Tribolium castaneum: one gene and its partner. The protein of the gene in region 1 interacts with the protein of each later gene in a biochemical or structural test. Links are inferred from orthologs where the notes say so. Each region holds a gene or a part of one and is shown in the gene's direction. Other genes may lie near its edges. The genes, in order: Acf and Iswi.

Region 1 (7,074 bases):
TACTTTATCGGCGAAAACGTGGAAACCTCGTTCACGGAAACCAAGTGGAAGGACTCGCACGTGCTACAAGTCATACCGCCCCCAAACAAACAAACCAAATCGCCGACAAAAAACGGGTAAGTCCCCTGATACTAAAACGCCAAATTGCGTCATTTTAATCACAAACCGTTAGAAACACCAATGACAAGCACTGCAACCCCCCGGCGAACCTCTACAAGTACGAGATCGAGCACTTGGACGCCAACGATCACGACATAAGCGAATTTATGATCGTTGACTGCAGTCAAATGCGCCGCAAAAAGGGCACTTACTCGCGCGAAAAGTGCAAGCTGTTCCTTAAACAATACGCCGAGCAGGACAGTAGAGGCGTTTTCGTCATAAAACCCTCAGCTTTGAAAGCCTTTAATTTGGATAAAATCACTTTCGATAAAATTTTCGGCGGCCAACCGCCCGAATTCAGTCCGTCGAAGAAATTCGTCAAGAAAACGCGACAAGAATCGCTCGATAAATACCTCACGAAGAGTACCAACTTTGCGAAGAACGGTAACAATGATTTACTTGAGAGAATGAGGAAGAAGGAGGAGGAATTCAAGCAGGCCAGGCAGCAAAAGAAGGAGAAAAAAATCGAAATGAAGCAGAAGAAAAAGGAAGAGAATCTTCAACTTGCCAAACAGTTGAAGAACTGGAATAAGCCAAAAGAGGATCTGGAACTTGTCGATCAAAAAGTCCGTGTTTGGTTGCAAACGAATTGGAATTATTAATTTTTTTGTAGAAATTGCCAAAAGCTAGTCCAGTAAAACTGAAAATTGCCGATGAATACGTGGGGGACGTTTTAATGGTGCTAGAGTTTGCAAACACGTTTTCCAAACTTTTGCACACCAAGGATTTTTTCCCAGGGGGGCTCTCGCTCGAGATTATGGAGAGGGCATTGACAGAAAATGAGGTATTTTTTTTAAACAATTGTCATTTCAAATGGCTGAATGAATGGGAAAAAGAATCATTAATAATGTTTATGCAAGACGATTTTCTCCCGTACAATTTTAAAAAACTTGCACTTTGAAGCTAAAAATGGATTCCTTTTGTTATCAATTATTATTAAATGTTTTTTTAAGTTTTTATTTAATTTCTTGCCTTGTTGTCTATTTCTCTGGTTTCATATTTTCCGAGTCAAATTCGAGAGGGTTGCTGTTAACCGAATAAGGTGGAATTTTGCATACATACGTAATTTCTATTTATTTTTAAAACAATAAAAAAAATTCCCTCAAAGACCAAATTATAACACCCTAAAATCTTTAATTTCTGAGATTATTAACTGTTACTTTTATGCACCAAAACTTTCGGAATGTTTTGACAATATAAAAGACAACTTTTATGTAACTGAAATAATTTTTCCAAAACTACCAAAACATTAATTGTTAACGTACTTTTTCTTTTTGATAATTGTTAGTCGATTATTATTTTTGTTATAATAAAATTGCAACATAATTTTTTGTGTCCCGTCCGTAATCTCACTATTTTCTTTTTTTATCATACACTTTCGCTGTATTATCTGTTTTCATGAAAAAATCATTTAAATATATCTAGCCCCTCTAACATATTTGTGTTCTTTTGAAAGTATTTACAGTTTTTTACTTATTTTTGACACAATTTTTACTGTCCCGTCCGTAATCAATGATCTATAACGATTTTGGAAAAGTTGGCGGCATAAATATTTAACTTGATAAGTCAGTTTGAAAATAAAATTTGACACAATTATGTCCCGTCCGTAATCATGGAATGACTGTTTATTAAAAAAATAAAAAGTTATTAATGAATCTCGGTTTGACGTCCAGTGTGCCACTTCAGTTTTTTTTTTTGCATTATTTGGAACGTTGTTATAGGTGGCTGGCCCCCTCATCGACCTGTTCCAAATGCTGTTGCTCGCCCTTTTCCACGTGCAAGAGGAAGAGGCTTCTCAGTATCGCACCGAAACCGAGACTTTGAACCTGAAACAGGAGGAAATTTCCGATAATATGAACCTGCAAGAGGCCACTCGATTAGCGACCATTGCCGCCGGTTGGAGCAAAAAATACCAAGGGCTTCCGTTGGCCCAATTACCCCTCTATTCGGTTACGACATCGGAAGTGTTAAGATTACACCTGTTATCATCCGGTGCTATAATAAAAATGAGCGGCGCGAGATGGCGCTACCAACAACGAGGGGGTTACTTAAGCGAAGACGATCCCGGATTGTATTTACGTCTCCACAGCCCCCATATTCTCAAAGCTTTGAAGACCCACAACGTGGTTGAGTTACCGATCGTCGATAAGTTGCAAATTTTGTCGTGTTTGATGAATCAACTGTTGACGTATGCCGATGTTAGGGACGTTGTCGAGGAACGCATGGAGAATATTCGACAAGCGAAGCACGAATATAAAACTATTTTAAGCGCGGAGAAAAAGCGAGAACAGGAGTTTCTGACTGCGAGGTTCAAGCTGAAAAAATCGGCGAAAACGGACGAGAAAGCGGCAACTGAATTACGCAAGTTGGAGGCGGAAGCCGAGCATAGACGCATGGAAAACCAGCGGAAAATGGTGGTGTTACAAAAGGCGGTGTACGAGAAACAAGTCTTGTTGGGACAAGACCGGGCGTTTCGCCGCTTTTATCGCCTCGAGTCCATCCCTGGATTTTTCCTCAACTCGGAAGAGGAAAATCCAGGCACCTGTTTGAGCAATATTATCGAACAAATGCCGCATTTGGTCAATGCGACACGTGACGAGGTTTTGGACCACTTGAAGAAAACACTCAAAGAATCAAATTCCAGCGATAAGGAGAACAGTCCGGCGAAAAATCGCAAAAACGGACAATGCAACGGTGTTTTAGACCAGAAAATCGAACTCTGCGATGATTTAATGATGTGTTCCGCCAACCCCGACACTTGTGTCGTCCATTCGAACGAGCGTCGGAAAAATTTGTGGGGTTTCTACCACGAAAACGAACAAATCGATCAATTGATCGACGGTTTGAACAAGCGAGGAGTGCGCGAGAGTGAGTTGCAACAAAACTTGACGTATAACCGGGACGATATCGAGAAATTAATCCGCGAAACGCCCGTCAATAGCTTAAATTTCGAGATGGAAAGTCGGGAAGAACCCAAGCGGAGGAAAGTTAAACCTAAGTATGAAGACGCCAACTTGGGGTACCCCCCAGATATGACGCCCACCGACGTCTTACATAGCGCCCTCATCGAGAACATTCTCGAAATGGAGGAGAAAATCTTCGCCGGGAGTCTGGGGGCCCTAAATATCAAAGACCGCGAAAAGTGGAGGAGCGATCTCCAGAATAAGAATTACAAAGAACTGGACAAGAATTTAGCAAAACGGGATGAGAACGATTTGAAAGAACTGGAAACTGATCCTAGTCATTATTTAATACCAGATATTGACAATAATGAAATTCCGCTAACGCAAAACGAGGACATTAAGGGAGCAATTCCGAGTTTGGCAGTGGTTTTGGCGCAAGTAGCGCAAGCCGTTGAACCGAAATTCCTCAAAAAACCACTAGGATGTGTGGCAACAGGTCGTAATAATAGTAAAATGGACGAAAACACCATAGTTAAGTGGGAACAGTCGTTGTTGGCGTCGACCAGTTTCAGTCAGATTTTTCTACATTATAGCACGCTGGATTCGTGCATTTTGTGGGCCAAGTCTGTGCTTCTGGCCAAGTGTAGGATCTGTCGGAGGAAGAACGACTCGGAGAATATGCTGCTGTGTGATGGTTGTAATCTAGGGGTTCACTTGTACTGTCTTAAACCGAAACTGAAGGTAAGGGCACGACTACGAAGGACTATAACTTAGGAGAAAAAAATGTACGGCAGAGTAAAAATTAATTTAAATACAACCAATTTACGAACTACTTGGGAAAAAATGCAGAAATATTTGCATTCTTAACAGACTAAGAAAAACTGCCAACTAATTTTTTTAGAGTTTTTTTGATTGCAAATGGTTTACAAATAACCATTTTTTTCAAATTCATTGCTCTGAAAACTTCGATGGTAGTGGAACAAATGCGCTCTCTGGCGACATTAACGGAACTATCGAAGGCGGGAACGTTTTATTTTTAGGTCGTTTCCTATCCTAACCTTTCAATATCCGTAGTTAGCATTTAAGAGTTCTGTTGTTGATCAAAATTTGCATTTGCACGATTTTTGTAGAGCATTCCGCCGGGCGATTGGTTTTGTGATAAATGCGAACAAGAGAAGAAACCTGAAGTGGTGGAATCACCGCCGAAGAAACGTCCGATTTTCCGCGACGAAGAAATCGACGAGGAAGAATCGGAAATAGAACAATTGGAAAGTAATAATGAAGAGGAAGATACTGAAGATGGCGAAGAAGAGGAAGAACAGGACGAAAATGAAGAAACGTCTCTATTGACATTTTTTTTATTTTGTTTACCAATAAATAAATTTCCAGGTCACCTAAACCCGATCTGTGTAAAACTTGTGGTTCAGGGGGCGAAATGGTCCAATGTGATAAATGCACGGACAGTTATCACATCGAATGTGTGGAACCGCCCTTGCGAAGGGCCCCCAGAGGCCCCTGGTTCTGTACGAAATGTAAGAAAAATAACGATAGAAAAAGAAATTACGGTAAGTACAAGTAATTCGTTAATGAACTGCTATAAATCAGTACTATTGTACAGACACGAGCTACTGTAATGGTACAGTGGTACAGCGCACTGGAAAAATCAATGGCCAGCGTCGCTGTGCTGCAAAAGCCTTGTATAAGATCCACGATTTTGCAAAGAGTCTTCGAGAACACTCAGATTCTGACGGTGGGTTCTTATAAAGCTTTCACACGTGCTAACATTTCACCATTTCCATCGTTTTAACCCATATTGACAGTTGCTATACCAGCTGCTAAGGAACAGTTATTTAAATCTAGTAACTTGGTAGCTTACTTAGTTGCTTAGCAACTGGTTCACGTGACTTAATTGGTCCAATCATGTAATAATCGCGCATTAACTTAAACTCTGAACGTTTTTGTTTAGACTCAAGCGAGGAGGAGGTGATTAGTAGAAGGGCGACGCGTCGAGATGAGGGCAGAACGGATCTGCCGTTGCACAATTCGGCACTGCATGCGGTTCTGTCCGAGGTGATGAAAGATGCAAACGCGTGGCCGTTTTTACGGCCGGTTCAAAAAATTGAGGTACCTGATTATTACGACGTTATTACGAAACCGATGGATTTTGGCACAATTAAGTATAAATTAAACATGGGGGAGTATAAAGAAGATGCTCAGTTTATGGCAGATGCACTGTTGGTGTTTCAAAATTGTAACACGTATAATCACACCGAGGACGATGTCTACAAGTAATTTATTTTTTGTGATTGTGTATGGTTTGATGATTTTTTTGCAGATGTGGCGTACAGTTGCTTAGGCTTTTTCAGAAAAAGTGTCGCGAGTTGGGGTTGAAACTTCCCGAGGAGATGGATTATAATGACCCGAATGCACGTCCGAAAAAGAAAATACGCACGAAATAGTATTATATAGTATTCTTATTTCTATCATTGTACATTTTTTCTTTAAATCTACCTTTGATTTGTACTGTGTAACCCTTTTAGCTGTTTTTGTAGGTACTATTTATGATTATTAAAGTTTTTATATTAATTAATGTTGTTTTAATCACCCCAAACATCCTAATCATAATGAAATTGAAAAAAAAGTTACGTCACGTTTCGTGCTTAAGCGCCATCCATCTTCAGTTGTGACATAACCTCAAAAAACAATTCAGCTGAAACATGGATGTGAGCGCGTACAGAAACATTGTGACGGTAATTCGGAACTACAAAGGGCTCTCTAAAAACTGCCTCTCCATTCTAGTTAACAATTTCCCCCAGTATGGCCCAGTTTTGTGTTAAAATCAGTTATAAAAATTTTGTTTTCCAGCATAAACCATGATACACTTTACAGCATTTTATCGCTGGAATACCAGAAACGTATGAGAATGAATCACGTTAAAAACCAGTCAGTTATTAACAAATACTGGGATGTGTATCAAGACGCCGTTAAAACGGGGGCCGGCCCTGGAATAATCCTCCGAATGGCCGAACGATTCGACATATGCCCTTGTCTCATCGCCAAACTAATCCTACACAAGTATTTCAAAGAGTGCGATATGGAATTGACACAAATTAACGCTCATTTAAGAGATACTTCTCTAATTCCAGACCCACATTTAGCCTACGAAGTCTTTCTGGTAAGAAATCTAACGTATGACCAAGTAAATGCGTCATCCAAGTCACCTTAGAAACAAAATTCGGGTCAGAGGCGACTTGGATGACTCATTTACATGCTCATATGATACAAACAATAGTGTTTTCCAGTGCACAATCTATGACAATTTGTACAGTCCACTATCAGAAACCATGAAACAGTAAGAATTCGTTCATTCAATTAACACAAAGTAGTGTAAAAAACATTCTAGTTCTCTCGGCCAGGAATACGAAATTAAATTACACAACGAAGTCCTGAAACTGAATCTAGCGTTCAGAGACGAGGAACATTTAAGGAAATTCGGCTACGATAAAACTCCCGATGTTAAATTGGACGTTCCGGTCGCAGTTGATGGCTTTGTCATCAACTGGATCGAGAGCAAAGCCCTATTCGGCGATGACGACGTCCACATAGAGTACACGAAAAACCAATACCTAAGCTATTGGAATCGGTTTGGGCCCGGACTAGTGATTTACTGGTTCGGTTTCGTCAAAAGCATAGTCCAAGCGGACGACAAAAGGTTCATCATTAGAGACCACATGCCCACGAACATTGTCCACATTAATTACCTTCGTTAAATAAAAATTTTATTGAAAAAGTTTGGCTTTTATTTGCATTTGTTTGGAGTTAACAGAGAAGGCTATGACGGTGTGAACTGGCCTTAAAAAATCTCCCAAGTTGAGATATAGTTCATTGTCCTTTATGTGTTTATACCGATTTTGGTTACTGATAACTAAAATATATGTCACATTTGCCTATCACGTTTTTTTTTTTTAATAAATTTCCTAAAACTTTTGAAAATTTGTTTTTTTTTGTTGGT
Region 2 (7,231 bases), on another chromosome or scaffold:
AATCATCAAAAAGAGCGTGATATCCATACTAGTATCATTGTGATAAGTGGTGTTATTTAAACCAGTTAAGGTGCACCTTTATGGCACGTTCGAAAATTTTCCGGACACGTGAAAAAACATTAGCAAACAATAGTTTTTTGACGATGATGCATTTGAAATTAAATTAAATACCAGGTCAAGTATTATCCGCATCTCACCTCACAGTAAAAATTATGAAACCAATATTTTTTGCCGAGTTACAATATTTCATAATATTAGAGCACTGTTTACATTTTTAATTTAATTTAAACACGTTTTTAAGATGAAAAGGCAGTTCGTTCTTCTCGAAATTTGGCTAAACTAAGCTGAAAAACTAGTAAATTGAATCCAAAATGAAATTACTTTGCCGCTTATGCGTTTTTTTGGTCGGCACATTTTTTGTCTAGAAACACCAGTCTGCCAAAGAATAAACCGAAAAATCGCCGAAATGAATCGGAAAAATATGTAGTACGTAGTATTTTTTGCGTTTTTTAATATTATTTCAAATATTTTACAATTTTTTTTTAAATTACCAAAAAAAGCTGGCCTCAGAATACGTAAGTGTTATACTTACCTTTTTCAAATGCTTTAATCCCCTTCAAAAATTGATAACTCTATTGTACCCCCCATTTTTTTTTATTTGAAAACACCCCTAGGAAGACAACTCTAAAACTTAAGGTAGCAAGGTATTTAAAAGTGAAGAAGTTAAGGCTTTTTGAAAAAAAAATTATATATTTTATTTTCTTTTCATTTTGAAAATGATGCTATATTAATAACTCGTGTACTCCTACCTAACTAATGATACGAGTAGATTTAATGAAATTTAAATCATTCTCAATGAAATCAGAAATCACTAATCACTCTCATTCGTTAAAAAATGATGACCAACGGAGTAATAAATAATTACATGGGGAAAACGACACTGGTAATAGTTGTTTACGTTGAATAAGTAATTAAATTGTTACGTATTATTCCCACAAGCGTGCAATTTATCCGGTTTCCAGCTCGCAACTTTGAAAATAGAGCCACAAAAGGAAGCTGCAGAGGCGCATGAGCACGTTGCGAAACGTAAGTTGAATAATTTATCTTAAAATCCATGAATTTATTTCAACTTTTAAGGAGATCATTCGTCACGATGGCATCCCTCGAAAGTGCTAAAAAACTGGCGGCCTACAAAGCTGTGGACCTCCACGTGCAAAACAATTCCATTGTGGGTGTCGGCAGCGGCTCCACCGTTGTTTACGCCGTTGAGAGGTTAGCCGAACGTGTGAAAAACGAAAAATTAAATGTACAGTGTGTCCCAACGTCCTTTCAAGCCAGGCAATTGATCATCCAGCACAGGCTGCACCTAACCGACCTAGAGATACATCCAAGATTGGATGTTTGCATTGATGGTGCCGATGAAGTTGATTCCACCTTGACATTGATTAAAGGAGGTGGGGGATGCTTATTGCAGGAGAAGATTGTTGCTAGCTGCGCCAAGGAGTTAATTATTATAGCGGATTATACCAAAAATTCACAAAAGCTGGGGGAACAATACAAAAAGGGGATTCCGATTGAAGTTGTTCCGATGGCCTATCTCCCCATTAAAACGCAAATTGAAAACCAACTGGGAGGGACAGTTGAGCTCAGAATGGCTAAAGCCAAAGCTGGACCTGTGGTCACCGATAATGGGAATTTTATCCTGGATTGGAAAAACTTCCAGGATTATAAATGGGACACAATCAACACCAAATTGAATCTCATTCCGGGAGTTGTGGAGACGGGACTATTTGTTAACATGGCCAAGAAGGCCTATTTTGGGTTGGCCGATGGGTCAGTCAAAGAACAAATTTAATTCATCCATTGATTTATTTGAAGGAATGTTATTTAAAAATATATATTTTATATTTTTATATGTTGTATTTTCAAAATTAAATAAAGCATCTCGTGCAACACACATTTTACAATGGTGGTCTAACATGTGTAACCTTTTAACTCAGATTATTTGCCCACTCATCTTTGTCATGTTTCTACGCTTTATTTTTAACAAAAACCCGTATTTCTACTAAAACATCAAAAACAACTTGAATTTTATTTTTAACCCTTTTTTTCTCAGACAGGTTTTTCTAAAAACAATTTATTTTAGAAAAATGAGTCGATTTTAAAATTGATGTTTTTAGGAAAATCTGAGTTAGAAAAAAAGGGTTAAAAATCACAGTCAAATTCAACGTTGTTTTTGATGGTTTAGTAGAAATATATACGAGTTTTTCTTAAAAATAATGCATGAAAATTTGGAAAATGATTAAGACTGAGTTAAGAAGTTACAAATATTAGACTACTTACAATACTGACAATTTGTGCAACGGTGACTAGACGTTTCCAAACAATTAATTGGTACAGGGTGATTCACGCAAGACGACTAGACTAGCCTTACAATTTAATGCAAAACCAAATACATTTTAAACAAATTAAATTGCGAATAGGACAGGAAACTGTGCATTTAATTCTTGTAAGGCTGTCATTTTAGCATTTTACGAAATCACCTGGTATGTTTCCAACTTAGTACAAACTGGTTTTCTTCATAATTCGCAAGAATTCTTCCTGATTGATTTCACCATCTCCATCCCTGTCTGCTTCATCAATCATTTCTTGCAATTCTTCATCTGTGAGATTCTCTCCTAGTTCTTTAGCCACTCTTTTCAGGTTCTTAAAACTGATTTTTCCGGTCTCGTCATCGTCAAACAAGCGAAACGCCTTCATGATCTCCTCTTTCGAATCCTTTTCGGCCATTTTCATGGTCATCAATTGCAAGAAATCATCAAAAGACAGTTTTCCAGTTCCCTGTGTATCAATATCAGCAATCATTTTCTTGATTTCTTCCTTCTTTGGCTCAAATCCCAACGCTCTAATTGCCACCTTCAGGTCTTTGGCGTCGATCTTCCCAGAGCCTTCATTATCAAACAAATCGAACGCCTCTTTAATATCGTTCTTCTGCTCTTCAGTCAACTCAAATTTGGAGCCTGCCATCTTCTTACGAACTGAGGAGAGATTCTTTTTTAAAACAAAGGAAGGGGACGTCGTCTAAAATCAATACTAACGCCTAAGTACTTATTGAAAATAGTCAATTACCATTATCAGGAACGGTTTTATGTTTTTATTCCAAAACTGTTGATGTTGAGATAACACAACCAAACATCCGGCGTTTTAAACAATCTGACAGTCGGGACTACCAACATTTACAAGGCCACCGTCTAAAACGCTTTCACCGCCTTATGAAAAATTGTCTTTTAAAAATTTGTCCACATCATAAAATTCTCTCGTTGTTGTGGGGTGCAGCATGCAATTATTGTTGTATTTTCGCCCGAAAATGGGCTCAAAGTGTGTAGGGATTGTTGGTGTTTCACCAGTTTGACGCATTTGCCCCCAGATGCGGCCGTCCTGCGACTAGTTCGTAGTGTTTCCCGCTACGTATCGCTTCCGAATCATTAAATGAACGGCATTTTTCCAAATTATCGTCGTTAAAAACCAACATTCCGTAGTTTTAGCTAAGAATTTCGCGCACCCAGCACCATGTCCAAAGTGGAAGAAGGCGGTGAAACCGCTGACACTGGTGAGAATTCGGTAAGAGCCTTGTTGTTAAAACAACCACAATAGTAAAAGTAAAAACGGGTCATTGACTCTGCTTTATTTATGAAATTGAAGAATGCCTCGTCTTCGGACACCCTCTCGTCGCGTGGGAAGGGCGAAGACTTCGAGACCAAACTCGAAACGGACCGCAGCCGCCGTTTCGATTACCTGCTCAAACAAACCGAGATTTTCTCCCACTTTATGAACCAAAACAAAACGCCTTCGAAACCGAAATCGGGCCGTCCCAAGAAAATCAAGGAAGACCCAGTGGCGGACCACCGCCACCGCAAGACCGAGCAGGAAGAAGATGAAGAACTGCTGGCCGAAAGCAATGCCAAGGCCAAACCGACGATTCGGTTCGAAGCCTCGCCGCCTTTCATCAAGAACGGGGAAATGAGGGACTACCAAATCCGGGGGCTGAACTGGATGGTGTCTTTGTACGAAAACGGGATCAATGGGATCTTGGCCGACGAAATGGGGCTCGGGAAGACGCTCCAGACCATTTCCTTGCTAGGTTTCATGAAACATTATAAAAACACGCCGTCTCCTCACATTGTGATTGTCCCCAAGTCGACTCTAGCCAATTGGATGAACGAATTCAAGAAGTGGTGTCCCAGCATCCGCGCTGTGTGTCTCATTGGGGACCAAGAGGCCAGGGTAAGACCTGGTTTAGTTTAATTGTGTTTTGACTAAGGTTGGAAAACACAAAGTCCAACCTACGTAAAAATTTATAATATCCAAAAAGAGTGATAGGACAGAGCGCTTTCGCGATTACATTCTTCATCAGTGGCGTAAAAGGGGGCTGGTAACAGGGGGTTAAGGTTAAGGCCTCTTCCTTATCACTGTCAGTACAAAAATGATTAGAAGAGAGAATATGGTTGGAAAAAGTTGAAGCATCTTTATATTTTTCTATGAATTTAAGATGTTTTTCAACCTTAGTCATCATAACAACCCCGCTTTGATAGAATGGATCCTTTAATTCTAATTGTGTTTCGTTAATTATTTTTTTAGAATGCTTTCATTCGGGACGTGATGATGCCAGGCGATTGGGACGTCTGTGTGACTTCGTACGAAATGGTTATCAAAGAAAAATCAGTTTTTAAGAAATTCAACTGGCGCTACATGGTAATAGACGAAGCTCATCGTATTAAAAACGAGAAATCGAAATTATCGGAGATTCTCCGTGAGTTTAAAACAACAAATCGTCTCTTACTCACCGGTACCCCCTTACAAAATAATTTACACGAACTTTGGGCCCTCCTTAACTTTTTACTCCCTGATGTTTTTAACTCTGCTGATGATTTCGACGCTTGGTTTAACACAAACCAGTGTTTGGGTGATAACCAGTTAGTCGAACGCTTGCACGCTGTCTTGAAGCCGTTTCTATTGAGACGTCTCAAATCCGAGGTCGAGAAAAAATTAAAACCGAAAAAAGAACTCAAAGTTTACGTCGGTTTGAGCAAAATGCAGCGCGAGTGGTATACTAAAGTCCTGATGAAGGATATTGATGTGGTAAACGGGGCCGGTAAAGTAGAAAAAATGAGACTACAGAACATTCTCATGCAATTGCGTAAGTGTTCAAACCACCCTTATTTGTTCGATGGGGCTGAGCCTGGGCCCCCGTACACCACCGACGAACATTTAGTCTACAATTGCGGGAAAATGGTGCTTTTGGACAAGCTTCTGCCCAAATTAAAAGAGCAGGACTCGAGGGTTTTGATTTTTTCACAAATGACACGAATGTTGGACATTTTGGAGGATTACTGCCACTGGAGACAGTACAATTATTGTAGATTGGACGGACAGACGCCGCACGAGGACCGGCAACGCCAAATCAACGAATATAATGAGCCAAATAGCTCAAAATTTATTTTTATGTTGTCGACGAGAGCCGGAGGTTTGGGTATTAATTTAGCAACAGCAGACGTTGTCATCATCTACGATTCGGATTGGAACCCGCAAATGGACCTCCAAGCCATGGACAGAGCGCACAGGATCGGCCAAAAGAAACAAGTTCGTGTGTTCAGACTTATCACCGAAAATACAGTCGAGGAAAAAATCGTAGAACGGGCCGAAGTCAAGCTGAGGCTAGACAAGTTAGTGATACAACAAGGGCGTCTAATCGACAACAAATCGCAGTCTTTGAACAAAGACGAGATGTTGAACATGATCCGGCACGGGGCCAATCATGTCTTCGCATCGAAAGACTCGGAAATCACCGATGAAGACATCGACACTATCTTACAAAAAGGCGAAGCAAAGGTAAAATACTTAATTTCCCAGTACTAACAAAGTTCACCTCCTAACTACGTAGGAGACGAAACGAGATCTAATCTACTTTTTTTTATTTGCGTTGTATTCACAGTTATTTAAATACAACCATTTTTTTAATTTATTGAACTATCGAGGAGGTTTAAATTAGTATATCGTTTCGAATCCTCTAGTTATTTGTGCTCCTCCCTGACTATAACATTAATCTAATAAAAAAAAATTAGACAGCGGAACTGGCCCAAAAACTCGAAGCTCTCGGCGAGTCATCCTTGCGCAACTTCACTGTGGACACGCCAACAGAGTCCGTTTACAAGTTCGAAGGCGAGGATTATCGCGAAAAGCAGAAAAACATCGGTTTGAACACCTGGATCGAGCCTCCGAAGCGTGAAAGAAAGGCCAATTATGCCGTCGATGCCTACTTCAGGGAAGCTTTACGTGTTTCTGAGCCCAAAGCGCCGAAAGCACCACGTCCTCCTAAACAACCTATCGTACAAGATTTCCAGTTTTTCCCTCCCAGACTTTTCGAGCTTCTTGACCAAGAAATTTACTACTATCGCAAAACTTTGGGTTACAAAGTCCCCAAAAATTTGGAGTTGGGGCCGGAGGCCGCCAAGCAACAGCGAGAGGAACAGCGGAAGATTGACGAGTCTGAGATGTTGACTGAGGAGGAACAGCAGGAGAAAGAAGCCTTGCTCACCCAAGGTTTCACCAATTGGAGCAAGCGTGACTTTAACCAGTTTATCAAAGCGAACGAGAAATATGGAAGGGATGATATTGAAAACATCGCCAAGGAAGTTGAAGGGAAAACTCCCGAAGAAGTGATGGAGTATTCGGCAGTGTTTTGGGAGCGGTGTCACGAATTACAAGACATTGACCGCATCATGGCACAAATCGAGAGAGGAGAAACGAAAATACAACGCCGTGCTAGCATTAAAAAAGCCTTAGATGCGAAAATGGCCCGATACCGGGCACCGTTCCATCAACTCCGAATTGCCTACGGCACTAATAAAGGCAAAAATTATATGGAAGATGAGGATCGCTTCTTGGTTTGTATGTTACACAGACTGGGGTTCGATCGAGAGAACGTTTACGAAGAGTTGAGGGCTGCGGTCAGGGCTTCGCCCCAGTTTAGATTCGATTGGTTCTTGAAGTCTCGAACAGCAATGGAGTTGCAAAGACGTTGCAATACTCTCATCACGTTAATCGAGCGCGAAAACGCGGAATTGGAAGAAAAGGAACGGAATGAACGGAAGAAGAAAGTGTCCAAGTCCAATGCAATATCAGGGACACCGACTCAAGTGTCGTCAAAGAGTGGGCAAAAACGTAAGAATGA

Evidence for each region.
Region 2: the proteins of Acf (region 1) and Iswi form a complex in vitro, tested with the Drosophila melanogaster proteins (3 studies listed by BioGRID). The link is inferred for Tribolium castaneum from reciprocal best matches to the Drosophila melanogaster genes Acf and Iswi.

The regions. Positions count from the first base shown.
Region 1 is NC_087396.1:20,813,939-20,821,012, reverse strand, and holds the end of Acf (bromodomain adjacent to zinc finger domain protein 1A), read left to right. Parts: coding exon 1-116; intron 117-172; coding exon 173-725; intron 726-772; coding exon 773-943; intron 944-1,880; coding exon 1,881-3,803; intron 3,804-4,192; coding exon 4,193-4,401; intron 4,402-4,451; coding exon 4,452-4,627; intron 4,628-4,680; coding exon 4,681-4,812; intron 4,813-5,028; coding exon 5,029-5,350; intron 5,351-5,397; coding exon 5,398-5,521; 3' UTR 5,522-5,648; downstream 5,649-7,074. Other genes in the region: CDAN1-interacting nuclease 1, read left to right, coding at 5,780-5,877, 5,928-6,237, 6,365-6,414, 6,466-6,832.
Region 2 is NC_087402.1:7,784,126-7,791,356, reverse strand, and holds the start of Iswi (chromatin-remodeling complex ATPase chain Iswi), read left to right. Parts: upstream 1-3,406; 5' UTR 3,407-3,570; coding exon 3,571-3,621; intron 3,622-3,702; coding exon 3,703-4,284; intron 4,285-4,638; coding exon 4,639-5,889; intron 5,890-6,122; coding exon 6,123-7,231. Other genes in the region: Rpi (ribose-5-phosphate isomerase), read left to right, coding at 1,154-1,855; uncharacterized protein LOC660873, read right to left, coding at 2,560-3,081, 3,130-3,132.